3 linked regions of the Saccharomyces cerevisiae S288C genome follow. The protein of the gene in region 3 purifies or fractionates together with the protein of the main gene of each other region. This does not show direct contact. Each region holds a gene or a part of one and is shown on either strand. Other genes may lie near its edges.

Region 1 (4,449 bases), on a different chromosome or scaffold from region 3:
TTCGAGAGACGTGGTATTTGAAGAATATAATACAAATCCATCTCAATTGAAGATGCTGAAGGAGAGTGAATTAAGTTTAATGAGCAGTGCAAGTAGTTCTGCCAGCTCTTCCAAAAAATCTTCGTCTAGGATATCCACCGGGACATTAAAGGACATGAGTAATCTGTCAACATATGAGGATTTGGCCCACCGAACGAATAAGCTTAAGTATGAAATCGGAGATGATTCTAGAGCACATTCTCAATCTACTTTGTCCGAGCAGGAACAAGTTCCCCTGGAAAACGATAAGGACAGTGGCGAGATGATGCTTGCAGACCCCGAAATGAAGCACAAGTTAGAATTGGCCAGAATTTACTCAAGAGATAAATCTCAATTTGTGAAAGAAGGAAATTTTAAAGTTGACGAAAATTTGATTATTAGCAAAATTTCACTTTCCCCAAGCACTGAATCCTTAGCAGATTCTAAAAGTTCTGGGAAAGGGCTTTCTCCACTTGAAGAGGAAAAGCTAATTGACGAAAACGCTACAGAAAACGGATTAGCGGGATCACCTAAAGACGAAGACGGAATCATAATGACTAACAAGCGAGGAAACCAACCTGTTAGTACTTTCCTACGCACCCCCGAAAAGAACATCGGTGCTCAAAAGCATGTTAAGAAGTTTTCGGACTTCGTAAGTCTGCAAAAAATGGGTGAAGGTGCATATGGTAAGGTCAACCTATGTATTCATAAGAAGAATAGGTATATTGTGGTGATTAAGATGATTTTTAAAGAAAGAATCCTTGTAGATACATGGGTTAGAGATAGGAAATTAGGCACTATACCTTCTGAGATCCAAATTATGGCCACGTTGAACAAAAAACCACATGAGAATATTTTACGGTTACTGGATTTTTTTGAAGACGACGATTACTATTATATCGAAACTCCCGTACATGGTGAAACAGGATGTATAGATCTTTTCGATCTAATTGAATTTAAAACCAACATGACCGAATTTGAAGCAAAATTGATATTCAAGCAGGTTGTAGCGGGAATAAAACATCTACACGACCAGGGTATTGTTCACAGAGATATCAAGGATGAGAATGTTATCGTAGATTCTAAAGGCTTTGTTAAGATTATTGATTTTGGATCTGCTGCGTATGTCAAAAGCGGACCATTTGATGTTTTTGTTGGGACAATAGATTATGCTGCCCCTGAAGTCTTAGGAGGAAACCCTTATGAGGGCCAACCACAGGATATTTGGGCTATTGGTATTCTATTGTATACGGTGGTCTTCAAAGAAAACCCCTTCTACAATATAGATGAAATATTAGAAGGCGACCTGAAATTCAATAATGCAGAGGAAGTTAGTGAAGATTGCATTGAGTTAATCAAGAGTATTTTGAACCGTTGCGTACCGAAGAGACCCACCATTGACGACATAAATAACGACAAATGGTTGGTTATTTGAAGGATTAATGATCATTCTAGGACATTAGTAATTGGAAAAGAAAATGCAAAAAAATATCCAGTAGAAACAATGCTTGGTATGTCGTTCTTCTTACTTTCTTCAGTAATGAGTTGGTAGTTTTCTCTATTTAAATATGAATAAATCAATATGTACTTTCTTTCTTTAATCAAAATGTTAATATGATAAAAATACAGCATCCAAAGCAGTTAATCAAGACTTAAATATAAAAAATTTACATATTTAGAAAACAAAGATAGGGTAAATATTGAAATTACATAGTAAACCATACCTTAAAAGCAGAAATACTGATACCACATGAACTATTGATCAATACTACTGCTATTCTCTTCCTAATGCAAAGAGCTTATTACCATTATTAAATCACTACAGACGATAATACCCGGAATGCCCTTTTTGCAGGGAAAGCGAAAAAGGTGAAAGAGTTAACAGGAGAAAGTGTTAGGGAACTAAGTTACGAAGGAAGGCAGATAGCAACAATACTAACGTGGAACTTATTTCGACGACTATAACAACTGGTATCTGATTATCGAAGAATAATTGAGTGGTCAGAAAGGAGCGAAATATGTCTGGAGCAAGATCAACAACGGCAGGTGCCGTGCCCTCGGCAGCAACAACATCAACAACATCAACAACGTCAAACTCTAAGGACTCAGACTCTAACGAGTCATTATATCCCTTGGCTCTGCTTATGGATGAGTTAAAACATGATGATATTGCTAATAGGGTAGAAGCCATGAAAAAACTAGATACCATCGCGTTGGCACTCGGTCCCGAAAGAACAAGAAACGAGTTGATTCCCTTTTTAACGGAAGTTGCACAAGATGATGAAGATGAGGTGTTTGCCGTTTTAGCCGAACAGTTAGGAAAATTTGTCCCCTACATTGGCGGTCCTCAATACGCCACAATCCTATTACCAGTTTTGGAAATTTTGGCATCTGCAGAAGAAACTTTGGTTAGAGAAAAGGCCGTAGATTCTCTGAATAACGTGGCCCAAGAACTTTCTCAAGAACAATTATTTAGTGACTTCGTCCCTTTAATTGAACATTTAGCTACTGCAGATTGGTTTTCTTCAAAAGTTTCTGCTTGTGGTCTTTTCAAGTCTGTTATTGTTAGAATCAAAGATGATTCATTGAGAAAGAATATCCTGGCTTTATACTTACAACTCGCTCAAGATGATACTCCAATGGTGAAAAGGGCCGTCGGTAAAAACCTGCCCATCTTGATCGATCTGTTGACTCAAAATTTGGGATTATCTACAGACGAAGATTGGGATTACATTTCTAACATTTTCCAGAAAATCATTAACGATAATCAAGATTCTGTCAAGTTTCTGGCAGTTGATTGTTTAATTTCCATCTTGAAATTTTTTAACGCTAAAGGTGATGAGTCTCACACTCAAGATTTATTGAACTCTGCTGTCAAATTAATTGGTGACGAAGCGTGGAGGGTACGTTACATGGCTGCCGATAGATTTTCAGATTTAGCCTCGCAATTCAGTTCCAACCAAGCATATATCGATGAATTAGTACAACCATTTTTGAACCTTTGTGAGGACAACGAGGGAGATGTTAGGGAAGCTGTGGCTAAACAAGTTTCTGGGTTTGCCAAGTTCCTAAATGATCCTTCAATTATATTGAATAAGATCTTACCTGCTGTGCAGAATTTGAGTATGGACGAAAGTGAAACAGTGAGATCTGCTTTGGCTTCTAAGATTACAAATATTGTATTACTGTTGAATAAAGATCAAGTCATTAACAATTTTCTTCCGATTTTACTGAATATGCTAAGAGATGAGTTCCCTGACGTTCGTTTAAATATCATTGCCAGCTTGAAGGTTGTCAATGACGTAATAGGAATTGAGCTGCTATCAGACTCTTTGTTACCTGCCATAACAGAATTAGCCAAGGACGTGAATTGGAGAGTTAGAATGGCTATAATTGAGTACATACCTATCTTGGCAGAACAATTAGGTATGCAATTTTTTGACCAACAGTTAAGCGATTTATGTCTTTCATGGTTGTGGGATACTGTTTATTCTATCAGAGAAGCCGCAGTGAATAATTTAAAAAGGTTAACGGAAATATTTGGCTCTGATTGGTGTCGTGATGAAATTATTTCAAGACTGCTCAAATTTGATCTACAATTACTGGAAAATTTTGTCTCGAGGTTCACAATACTCTCTGCTCTAACCACTTTGGTGCCCGTGGTATCGTTAGATGTCGTTACTGAGCAACTATTACCATTCATTTCTCACTTGGCTGATGACGGTGTTCCAAATATTAGGTTTAATGTGGCCAAATCCTACGCTGTGATAGTGAAGGTTTTAATTAAGGACGAGGCCAAATATGATGCATTAATTAAGAACACAATTTTACCCTCATTGCAAACGCTGTGTCAAGACGAAGATGTTGATGTAAAATACTTCGCTAAGAAAAGTTTGGCAGAATGTCAAGAACTTTTAAAAAATTGATACTAGTTCAAATATATACATACATACACATATGTACACTTGAATGAATAAAAAGTATACATATTAACAACTAGGCCTGCTTTCTTTTCTTTTCTTTTTTTTTTTTTTTACCACACTTAGTCCTCTACTTTAACAGAAATATCATTTTCCAGTTTGACCATAGTTTCTTCAACTGTTTTCTCCTCGTGTTTAACATTGATTTCCGCCTCCACGTTCAGTTCACGTTTTCCTTCCAGGTATTTCACCCACTTTGGATAACTCATGATATTTTGCTGGATTTCCTTGTACAATTGAGACTGCAAATCCCAATCTAAGGAGCTTCTGGGATCATCCGGTGGCAAGAATTGTAACATGTCACCAAGGTTCCTCGATTTAGTGATTATTTGTCCAAATCCAACCAGCAACCCATTTATTTCTGTCCAAAGCCCCTTAGGCAGCCAATTTTGTAATTGAGTTCTTGTCTGATCTGGAGTCTTGCATTTCTGCGCATCTACCCATTTCCAAA
Region 2 (3,597 bases), on a different chromosome or scaffold from region 3:
GGGCAATAACACAGTCTTCATGAACCCTTACATGTACAATATGAATCCCCAAGGGTCCTGTTCGTTTGGCACCCCAATCCCTATGTATCCCCCATACCAATATCAATATCAATACCAATATAACACTCAGTATCACAGCGGGCCATATAGCAATACACCAAGCTATAATTCTAACAATTACACAAGATCCTCAGCAAATAAGTACCACCATTTTCAAGGAAAAAATTCATATTCTGGTGCGATTCCGAAACGTAGTGATGACAGTAACAGTAATAAGAATGAGGGAATTCGTAGGGCTAGTGTTGAGGGTTCGCCGTCATCTAGGGATACTGATTCGGTAGAGATGAAATTTGATAAATTAAACATTTAGCGTGAGGAGTGAACTATACATAGCGAAAAAATTACGTAACGGTTTATAGAAATTCTAGTATGAGAACAGTAATATATGAGAAAAAGTTGTTTTCACTTTGTGTTCGAAAAAATAAGTATTTGAAAACGAAAAAATAGTTTGTATGTTTGTATATAAGTTGTTATTATCAAAAATTAGAGGGAAAAAGTAACTAAATATATATTAAAAAAAAAAAAAAAATAAATGTATGTTGGAATGAAATAGCGTAGTAAGGATAAAGGTGTAATAGATATATATTATAAGAAATAATCCGGTGTCTTCCTGGTGACGGTTGGTTCACCGGGTCTCACAGATGGATCGTATTGTAAGAATTGCCTATTATGGTTTTCATCCACCTCCATAATAGCGGCCTGGTTACCACATCTATAACAATAATTTGGAGCACTGAAAATGGTGACAACATTTTGCTGGTGAGACCAAGAATATCCTTCCATTACCAATTGGTGAGCTCTTGCTATTAGTGATAGGTCATTAGTGTGATTGAATTGCTCACTGATGTCTTGACCAAAAGTGAAGCCTGCACCTCTCGGACTGATTCCCCATCCGCCTCTATCATCAGGATCGGACCATAGAAGGTCACACATTGGACCTTCGTGAGGCACTTCCTGTATTCTATTTAAATCTCTAACTTGATCTATTGTCTCTATCATGGGTGAGAGACCTCCATGCAAACAGAAGATTTTATTATCCACCAAGGCAGTAACGGGGAAATAATCGAATAGATCGGTAAACATTTTCCACACGTTCGCACTGCCGTACTTTCTCAAACATTCGTCATAAAACCCATATACTTGGGTAATCTGCCTAGACTCGTGATTGCCCCTAAGTATAGTAATTCTATGTGGATATCTGACTTTCATGGCAACTAGGTAAGATACGGTCTCAACAGAATAATATCCTCTATCCACGTAATCACCCATGAAAAGGTAATTGGTGTCAGGACAAGGACCACCAATCTTGAAAAGTTCTAACAAGTCATGGAATTGACCGTGTACGTCACCACAAATGGTAACAGGCACGTTAATTGGTTTAACATTCTCCTCGAACTGCAACACGTCCACCGCCATTTTACATAGTCGTGCTACATCGTCTTCTGATAGTGGCTCGCATTTACTCAAATGCTCAATCCATTGGTCAAGCTGATTTATATTTGTATTGGTCAGTTTTAGTGGTTTGGAGGATTTATGATCTGCTATACCCGAGGACCCCGGTTTAAAATTAAAATCTTCCAACTCTTCATCTGTGTCTTCGTCATTAGAACGCGCCTTCGTATTATTTTTGCCGTCATCACTATTCATGTCTTCGTCGAGAGTCGGTGATAATTGATCTTCATCTGAACCATGCATAGGGTCATCAATTTCCATATCCATTTTTTTCGAATGAAAGCCAGTTATACAGAAGTGCCAATAATATAAAATTCAAAAAAAGACGTAACAGGAACAATAACCGGAAAGGAAAGAGAGCAGGTAGGACAAGAAGTAAACGGGTTTGCGTGTTCTTGTTCGAACACTGTTTTGCAGCGGGCTGGTACCTTAAGAAGTTTGCTCTAGTTACAGCCCTTCAATTGGTTTTATAAAATGGGGATGTCCCTTTGAAACTTTCCACGACTCTTTTCCACAATTCAGCGGAAAAGAAAATAATAACCTCTTCTAGATTACCCGGTCATGTCAGGGTAATACACGATTGTATTTCAAAGTGCACAACGACTATTGTTGTCGTATAAGCTTTTGGATTAATCTTAGCATTAATTGATACATAATTCCGCAAGAAGAAGTTTTAGGAGAATAGAGTTTCGCTTCTTTTATTAATATTCTGTCCTGTGTCACAAAATATTGTAATAATTTGGTGCGGTGTATGGGTTCAAGTTCCCAAAAAAACAACTAATTTGCGACACTTCGTAGTTCTGTGCTTTTATATGGAATATACTTGTGGACTCTATTCCTGGATGTAGATTTGCTTACAGATAGCCAAGAAATATTAGAAAAATATGCAGTGTAACACAAGTATAGAAGATGGTTTAGATGGGGGCGACATAACTTTCCCATCCTACAGCCCTGAAGCGGAGGCTCAAAACAGATTCTTACCAAGAAGTGAGTTCCCCTCTGTGAGGCAACTCGTGATTTCGAAACAAAAAAGCAGAAGAAGAAGAGAAGAAAATGTATTTGTGGGAAAAATGGAGGACGTACTTGTAAAATGGAGGCCACCTGCATCTTCACATCGTGGCGCAATTGAAGCTATTAATGGCACGCATCCATATCAGCTTAGCACAGCACAATTCAACTCGAGAAGATCGGATCCATTTGGTTCAACAAAGAGAGATGAATCCGTGCGTTCCATTGTAGAATCGTTTACCGATTGGTGGAAACGCAATTCCAAAATGTTTTTTCGTGACGAGGAAGAAGGTGTACGAACCGAACACAGTGCGAGTCAAGATGACCAAGAGTTGCAGCTTTTCGAAGAAGATCTCTTCTCATTTCACCTAAGCCCAAATGATATGTCAACCAGGAACAGCGAACATCAAGTGCAAACACCGGTGCTTTTCCCGTACGAAGCTCCTACTCGAACAAAACAAAACCCAGCAGAAAGAAAAGTCATTGAAATTGGGGACGGCGAAGAACTCTCTATCTATCGAGATGTTTATTCCAATCCTATTCCTGTCAGCTACCTAGATACCTTAAACTTGAACCACTCCATGTCTGTACGGCAAACACAACAGCAACAACAACAGCGGCAACAGCAGCAGTATGTAGACTCTTCATCGGCATTTCAATGCTGTACAGACTCCAATTGGGCGAGAATATTTTTTTGCCACCACGATTAGACTCCACTTTGCTTCTATAGTCCTATCTATTGTTCTTTTTATTCCTAGCATAACCTTATTGTATTGTTCTTTTTCTTTTTCCTTTTTCTTTTTTTTTTTTTTTTTTTTTTTTTTTTCACATCTTTTTCCACGGCCGCTCAAAGGGGTCTCACACTGGATTAAAAGCTGAAAACAAGAAATGGCTCTTTCGATAAGGTTGCAACATTTTGATTACTACGTTGATTAGAATAAAAAGTACCAAACACATTTCTCAAAGCATATAGATATCTAAGATTATAACGCAGGAGTCGTTCTTTCATTCTTAGAGTTAAAAAGCAAATAGAGAAGAAAAGAAACAATGGCTGGTGCAATTGAAAACGCTCGTAAG
Region 3 (4,563 bases):
ATTAATTATTCAGTTCTTTTTTACCAGTCGCCAAAAAAACTACGTATAGGTTGCTTTTCAAGCTCTTAAAATTGTTGGATCAGCTGTGCTAAGGGGAAGGCACTTTTTTGTATCATGATCCTATTTTTTTTGTTATTTAATTATTTATGACATACCTTTATACTTTAGTTTTCAAAAATCCAATAATAGATAGGCAAGGTTTACGGAAAAGAGTGGAGTGCAAAATAAATAGAGGAAAGGCAGAAGGAAGAAGGAAAGCGAAAAGAAAAACGAAGATATATTTGGAGAAAAGTATAGAAATAATAAAATGAAGACACATCGATTGAAGTATGCTCAAATGATGAGAAAAAGAGACCTTTATCTCAGGCCACAAACAACCATTGTCCAAGTGGCTTATCTTTGCTATAGTTTTGTTCGAATATTCGGGGATTCTATCTTTGGTTTCTTCAACAAGTTGACCCCATTTACCAGTTCTTTTTTGCTCTTCATATACTGCTGCTCTTTTGAAATGTGGCATGCCCTAAACTTCCTCACTTCTTCGAGCTTGTAATGAATTGCTGTTTCACTGTATCTCGCTGTCACAATCATTTTCGTTCTCTTCATTTAATGTGTTATTCTCACTTGCTGTGTTGAAACTGTTTCTTAATTCTGGGTTTTTGATTGTGTATTGGTCCTTATCATTGTTAATCCTTAGATTTTTTACATATTCTTCAAGTTTGCTCCAATTTTCTTCACGTTGCACCTTACGCTGTTGAGTTTCTTTTACACTTGATAAGTACAATGCATTACAGTTTTCGTACAATACTGGGTTTGTTTCCAGAAAAATTTTCAATGCCTTGAATGCCATAGCATGAATTGCCCTATTCCACGAACCAGAATTGATTGCTTGCTCAACAAGCATGTAAGGGTCTGAAATGCTATCTTCGCCATTTGCTGTATCTAGCTCTAACTGAGAAGTTAATTCATATAATGCAGGAAATATAATGGGTAGGATGACTTCGGCATTTTCGATACATAAGTTTAAGAAATATTCATTATTCCAATAACTTAAAACCTTTTCCGCCACTTGGAAATGTGGAGAAGAAATACACTTAGCTAATTGAACAAATAACGGAACTTCTACTTTAATAAATTCCAGCGGTTCGATCACTTCAAAAATATCCTCGATTTCATTTAGAAACATTATCTCTTTTGTGGAATTTATTTTTGGCCAATAACGCAGTAAGCCCATAACTACCTCTTCGGTTAATAAAGGATCTTTTTCGAGAAATTGAACGATACAGTAAGCCAACTGAGGGTGGTATAATGATAAACAACGGACCTTGTGTAATGGTATCAATATCCTCACCAAGAAAACCTTGTGCTCTTCCTTTAATGGAAGTGCAAATCCATTAATTATGGAACCCAAAATTTCTAACAATTCTGCCACACCGTTAAACTTCTCAGTCTCATAAATAAATTGCAAAAAAATATTATTCATCGACCGACGAATAAAGCTTCTTAATGATAAGAACTTCCCATATATTCTATGCAGTGTCGTTTTCAAACAGTCTCTTTCTCTGATATCTTCGCTATCAAATAATTCCAGTAACTTTAAAATAAAGTCCTGATCAATATATTGTTTAGCAATCTGATGATTGAAATCAGGACTTTCCACAAACCTTAAAAAGAATTCGTAAACAGCTTGCATATGAGGCCAGGCTAGTTCGTTAACAGGTTCATCTTCATCTGGGTCATAAATGTCACCAACTGGATTTACTGGTGGTGGAATAGGTCTAAACAGATTGATTTTGAACATGTTCACCACATGAGCGTACATCTCATTCGTGTAAGTGAACCTATTTGTTACAAGGAATTCTATTAGCTCATCTAAGGTGCTTCTTTTAATCTCTTTACCTTGAATGTCAAAACTTGGATCATTAAAGTCAAACATAGTGTTACACTGGTCAACTTTGGCAATGAACAAAGGGATTCTTTCTTCAGGAGAAACTTCATTAAAATTTGGCAATTTCGTTAATGGCGTATATCTAGATGGCTCGAATCTAGATGAAGAATGACGTTGGGGAGTCTTAATTAACTCTAAATCTGTGTCAGGGTTAAGTTTTGTGGGTGTTGGTAGTCTCTCAAATGAGTGTGATGATCTCGGAATGTCGATACTTTGTGAGGAGGCGTGGTTTGCATCCTGAGTATTACTAGTATTAATATTCATATTGTTATTATTACTATTACCATTTTCTACATCAGAAGAAACTGCTGTACCTGAAGCATTTGAAATGGGAGATGATGGAACAGCGGATACTGCCCCCAGCAAAGTAGGATGTGCATGATCTTCACCAGAAGTGCTTTTGTCGTCCTTAGTAACAGTGAGTACTGGAGTGGGGTTCATTATAGCGGCAGATGATGAAGAAGATCCTTGCTTTTGAGATTGTGATGGCTGTTGCGATTGTTTGGACTGTTCTTGTCCTTTTCTTGAACTTGTTTTCTTTGTGGAGCTTGAACCGGAGCGACTGACACTTGAACTTCTACTGCTACTGCTGCTGGAAGAAGGGGTCGTCGCTGTTTTTGTTTTTGATGTAGAGCTACTATGATGCTTCCCTTGCGAGGGAACACTACCAGATTGCTTGCCCTTCTCAGTTGTAGACTTTGATCCGGTACTGCTGGCAGAACTGTGAGTAGTCCCGTGGGAAGAGCTACTAGCCGAAGCGGGCTTCTTTGATGTGGATGAGGTAGTGGAACTTTTTTCTTTTTCCTTCTCTTTGTCCTTCTTTTTACTGCTTGAAGAAGAAGAAGACCCGGTGGTCTTCTTTATTAATCTTTGCTTGAAACCACGCATCATATTGAAAGTGGATGTTCGAAAATAGCACGTGCCTATTGATCTTAATAAGTAGAACTTTTATACAAAATAAAAAAGCCAGTTAAAGACGGTATTGAGGTGAACAGGTATATGGAGAAGGGTTTATATTTTTATCTAACAAAAAAAGGAAAAAAAAGCAAAATCGAGGGGGGAAGGAAATGAAACCCAAAATACTTACGGCGACGATGGTTTATCCTTGAAATGAAGAGTTTTCCAATGAAGAAACGAGACGTATTGACATGCCTACCAATTGAAGTGGAAAACAAAGCGTAGTTTCACATACTCTTTGATAATCAATTGTCTGATACTTTTTTTTTTCCTTTCTCGCAGCCGGGATAGGGGGTTGTGACCCGGCAAAAAATGTTGGTCTAAGTTTTATTGTTGCTATATGCTCCATACATACAATAAATGTCTATAAAATTTTTAGAAGAAAATCAGGCGTGAAAGATGGTGTCTGCATCTTTGTGGTAGAGCATCAAGTAGGCCGTGAATCCCTTCCCCTGCGGATCGGGTTCTCCTTTGGAGTTCACTTCTCCAACCCCGAACTGAAACACCAAATAGGTTTTGAAACCGAAATATTCGTACACAGATCTTGCGTGCTCCGAAATAGCCTCGAGAGCAAGGGCGCAATTGGCCTTGTCTGCTTTGGTTTTATATTTTTCGAGTATTTTTCTGACTGAACCTCTAATTTCGGGATGGCTAGGATCTTTTCCGATGGCATAAAGGTAGTAATAGTCCATTCCCAGAGGCATGACTTCGTGCTTCCTCACAGTCAAGTCGTGAAAAAAAAATCTTATTGAAAGACTCGTCGTCAGATAGTGTAGCAGGCAAGTGGCACCCAGGGCGGCTCCATATTGCGACTGCATCGAAATCATTTGCCTCAGCAATTTCACCATCCAAGTCATGGTAGCACGTCGTGTAGTAATGTATCATTGCATTTATTCTTGCCCTTGAAACTTTTTCAGTGATTGGGATATGGAAGAACTTTTTCATCAAGTAGTCATTTGCGTATGACTTTTCGAATGCCTTAAACAAAGTTTTCGAAGCCTTCTCTACATCGCTTGTCAAGTTTACCGCCAAAGAGGATTCTTCATTGATCGATGATGCTACCATTATCAAAACTATTGATTTGTTTTCAACGTTCTGATTAGTATTTTTGTCACTGCCTTTTTCTATTGTTTCTTTTTTTGCATTTCTTATAGTAACATAAAAAACACAGGAAAAAAAACGTCGTTTATTATATCAGGAGTAAAGGATTTCTGCCCAAAATGTCAGGAAAATTACGATATAAAACGTACTATAAGATAACAAGCGGCTGAATAATTTCTGAGGTCAGAACCATAAGGGTACTGAAATACTATGTGCTAGATTTTTTATTTATTTTCTTTTTCTGATTGATTATCGTTTGGTTAAAATCAGTATGATATTATATATGACTTGCTTTATAATATATCAAACCGACATAAAAAATTATCCTACTCAAAAAAGATCATGGTTGTCCCCGCGTTTCACTTCTGTTATACCATGCAAATTTTTATATCAAATGAGTAATTCTTTCATTTCTTTCGGGACCCTTTACGAAGTAGTTGTTATATCTCCACTGGCAAGGCCACGAACTGACAAAAAAGGCATGATATAAATTGTGAGAAATTGTGAGTTAATTTAATAATTATGCGACGAGATGATAGAAAGGTAAAGACGACTTTTTG

The links.
Region 1: the proteins of RTS1 (region 3) and TPD3 purify together in Saccharomyces cerevisiae (affinity purification with mass spectrometry; 6 studies listed by BioGRID, with this or other methods). This does not show direct contact.
Region 2: the proteins of RTS1 (region 3) and PPH22 purify together in Saccharomyces cerevisiae (affinity purification with mass spectrometry; 3 studies listed by BioGRID). This does not show direct contact.

What each region holds. Positions count from the first base shown.
Region 1 is NC_001133.9:122,843-127,291, forward strand, and holds TPD3 (protein phosphatase 2A structural subunit TPD3), read left to right. Parts: upstream 1-2,036; coding exon 2,037-3,944; downstream 3,945-4,449. Other genes in the region: serine/threonine protein kinase PSK1, read left to right, coding at 1-1,453; bifunctional N-glycosylase/AP lyase NTG1, read right to left, coding at 4,061-4,449. UniProt on the Saccharomyces cerevisiae protein: Phosphatase 2A affects a variety of biological processes in the cell such as transcription, cell cycle progression and cellular morphogenesis, and provides an initial identification of critical substrates for this phosphatase.
Region 2 is NC_001136.10:123,220-126,816, forward strand, and holds PPH22 (phosphoprotein phosphatase 2A catalytic subunit PPH22), read right to left. Parts: upstream 1,780-3,597; coding exon 646-1,779; downstream 1-645. Other genes in the region: RBS1 (Rbs1p), read left to right, coding at 1-370; YDL186W (uncharacterized protein), read left to right, coding at 2,397-3,230; VMA1 (H(+)-transporting V1 sector ATPase subunit A), read left to right, coding at 3,568-3,597. UniProt on the Saccharomyces cerevisiae protein: Exact function not known, phosphatase 2A performs an essential cellular function.
Region 3 is NC_001147.6:355,947-360,509, reverse strand, and holds RTS1 (protein phosphatase 2A regulatory subunit RTS1), read right to left. Parts: upstream 2,837-4,563; coding exon 563-2,836; downstream 1-562. Other genes in the region: ERP4 (Erp4p), read left to right, coding at 1-49; YOR015W (uncharacterized protein), read right to left, coding at 158-517; YOR012W (uncharacterized protein), read right to left, coding at 3,554-3,967. UniProt on the Saccharomyces cerevisiae protein: The B regulatory subunit might modulate substrate selectivity and catalytic activity, and might also direct the localization of the catalytic enzyme to a particular subcellular compartment. Multicopy suppressor of ROX3 and HSP60.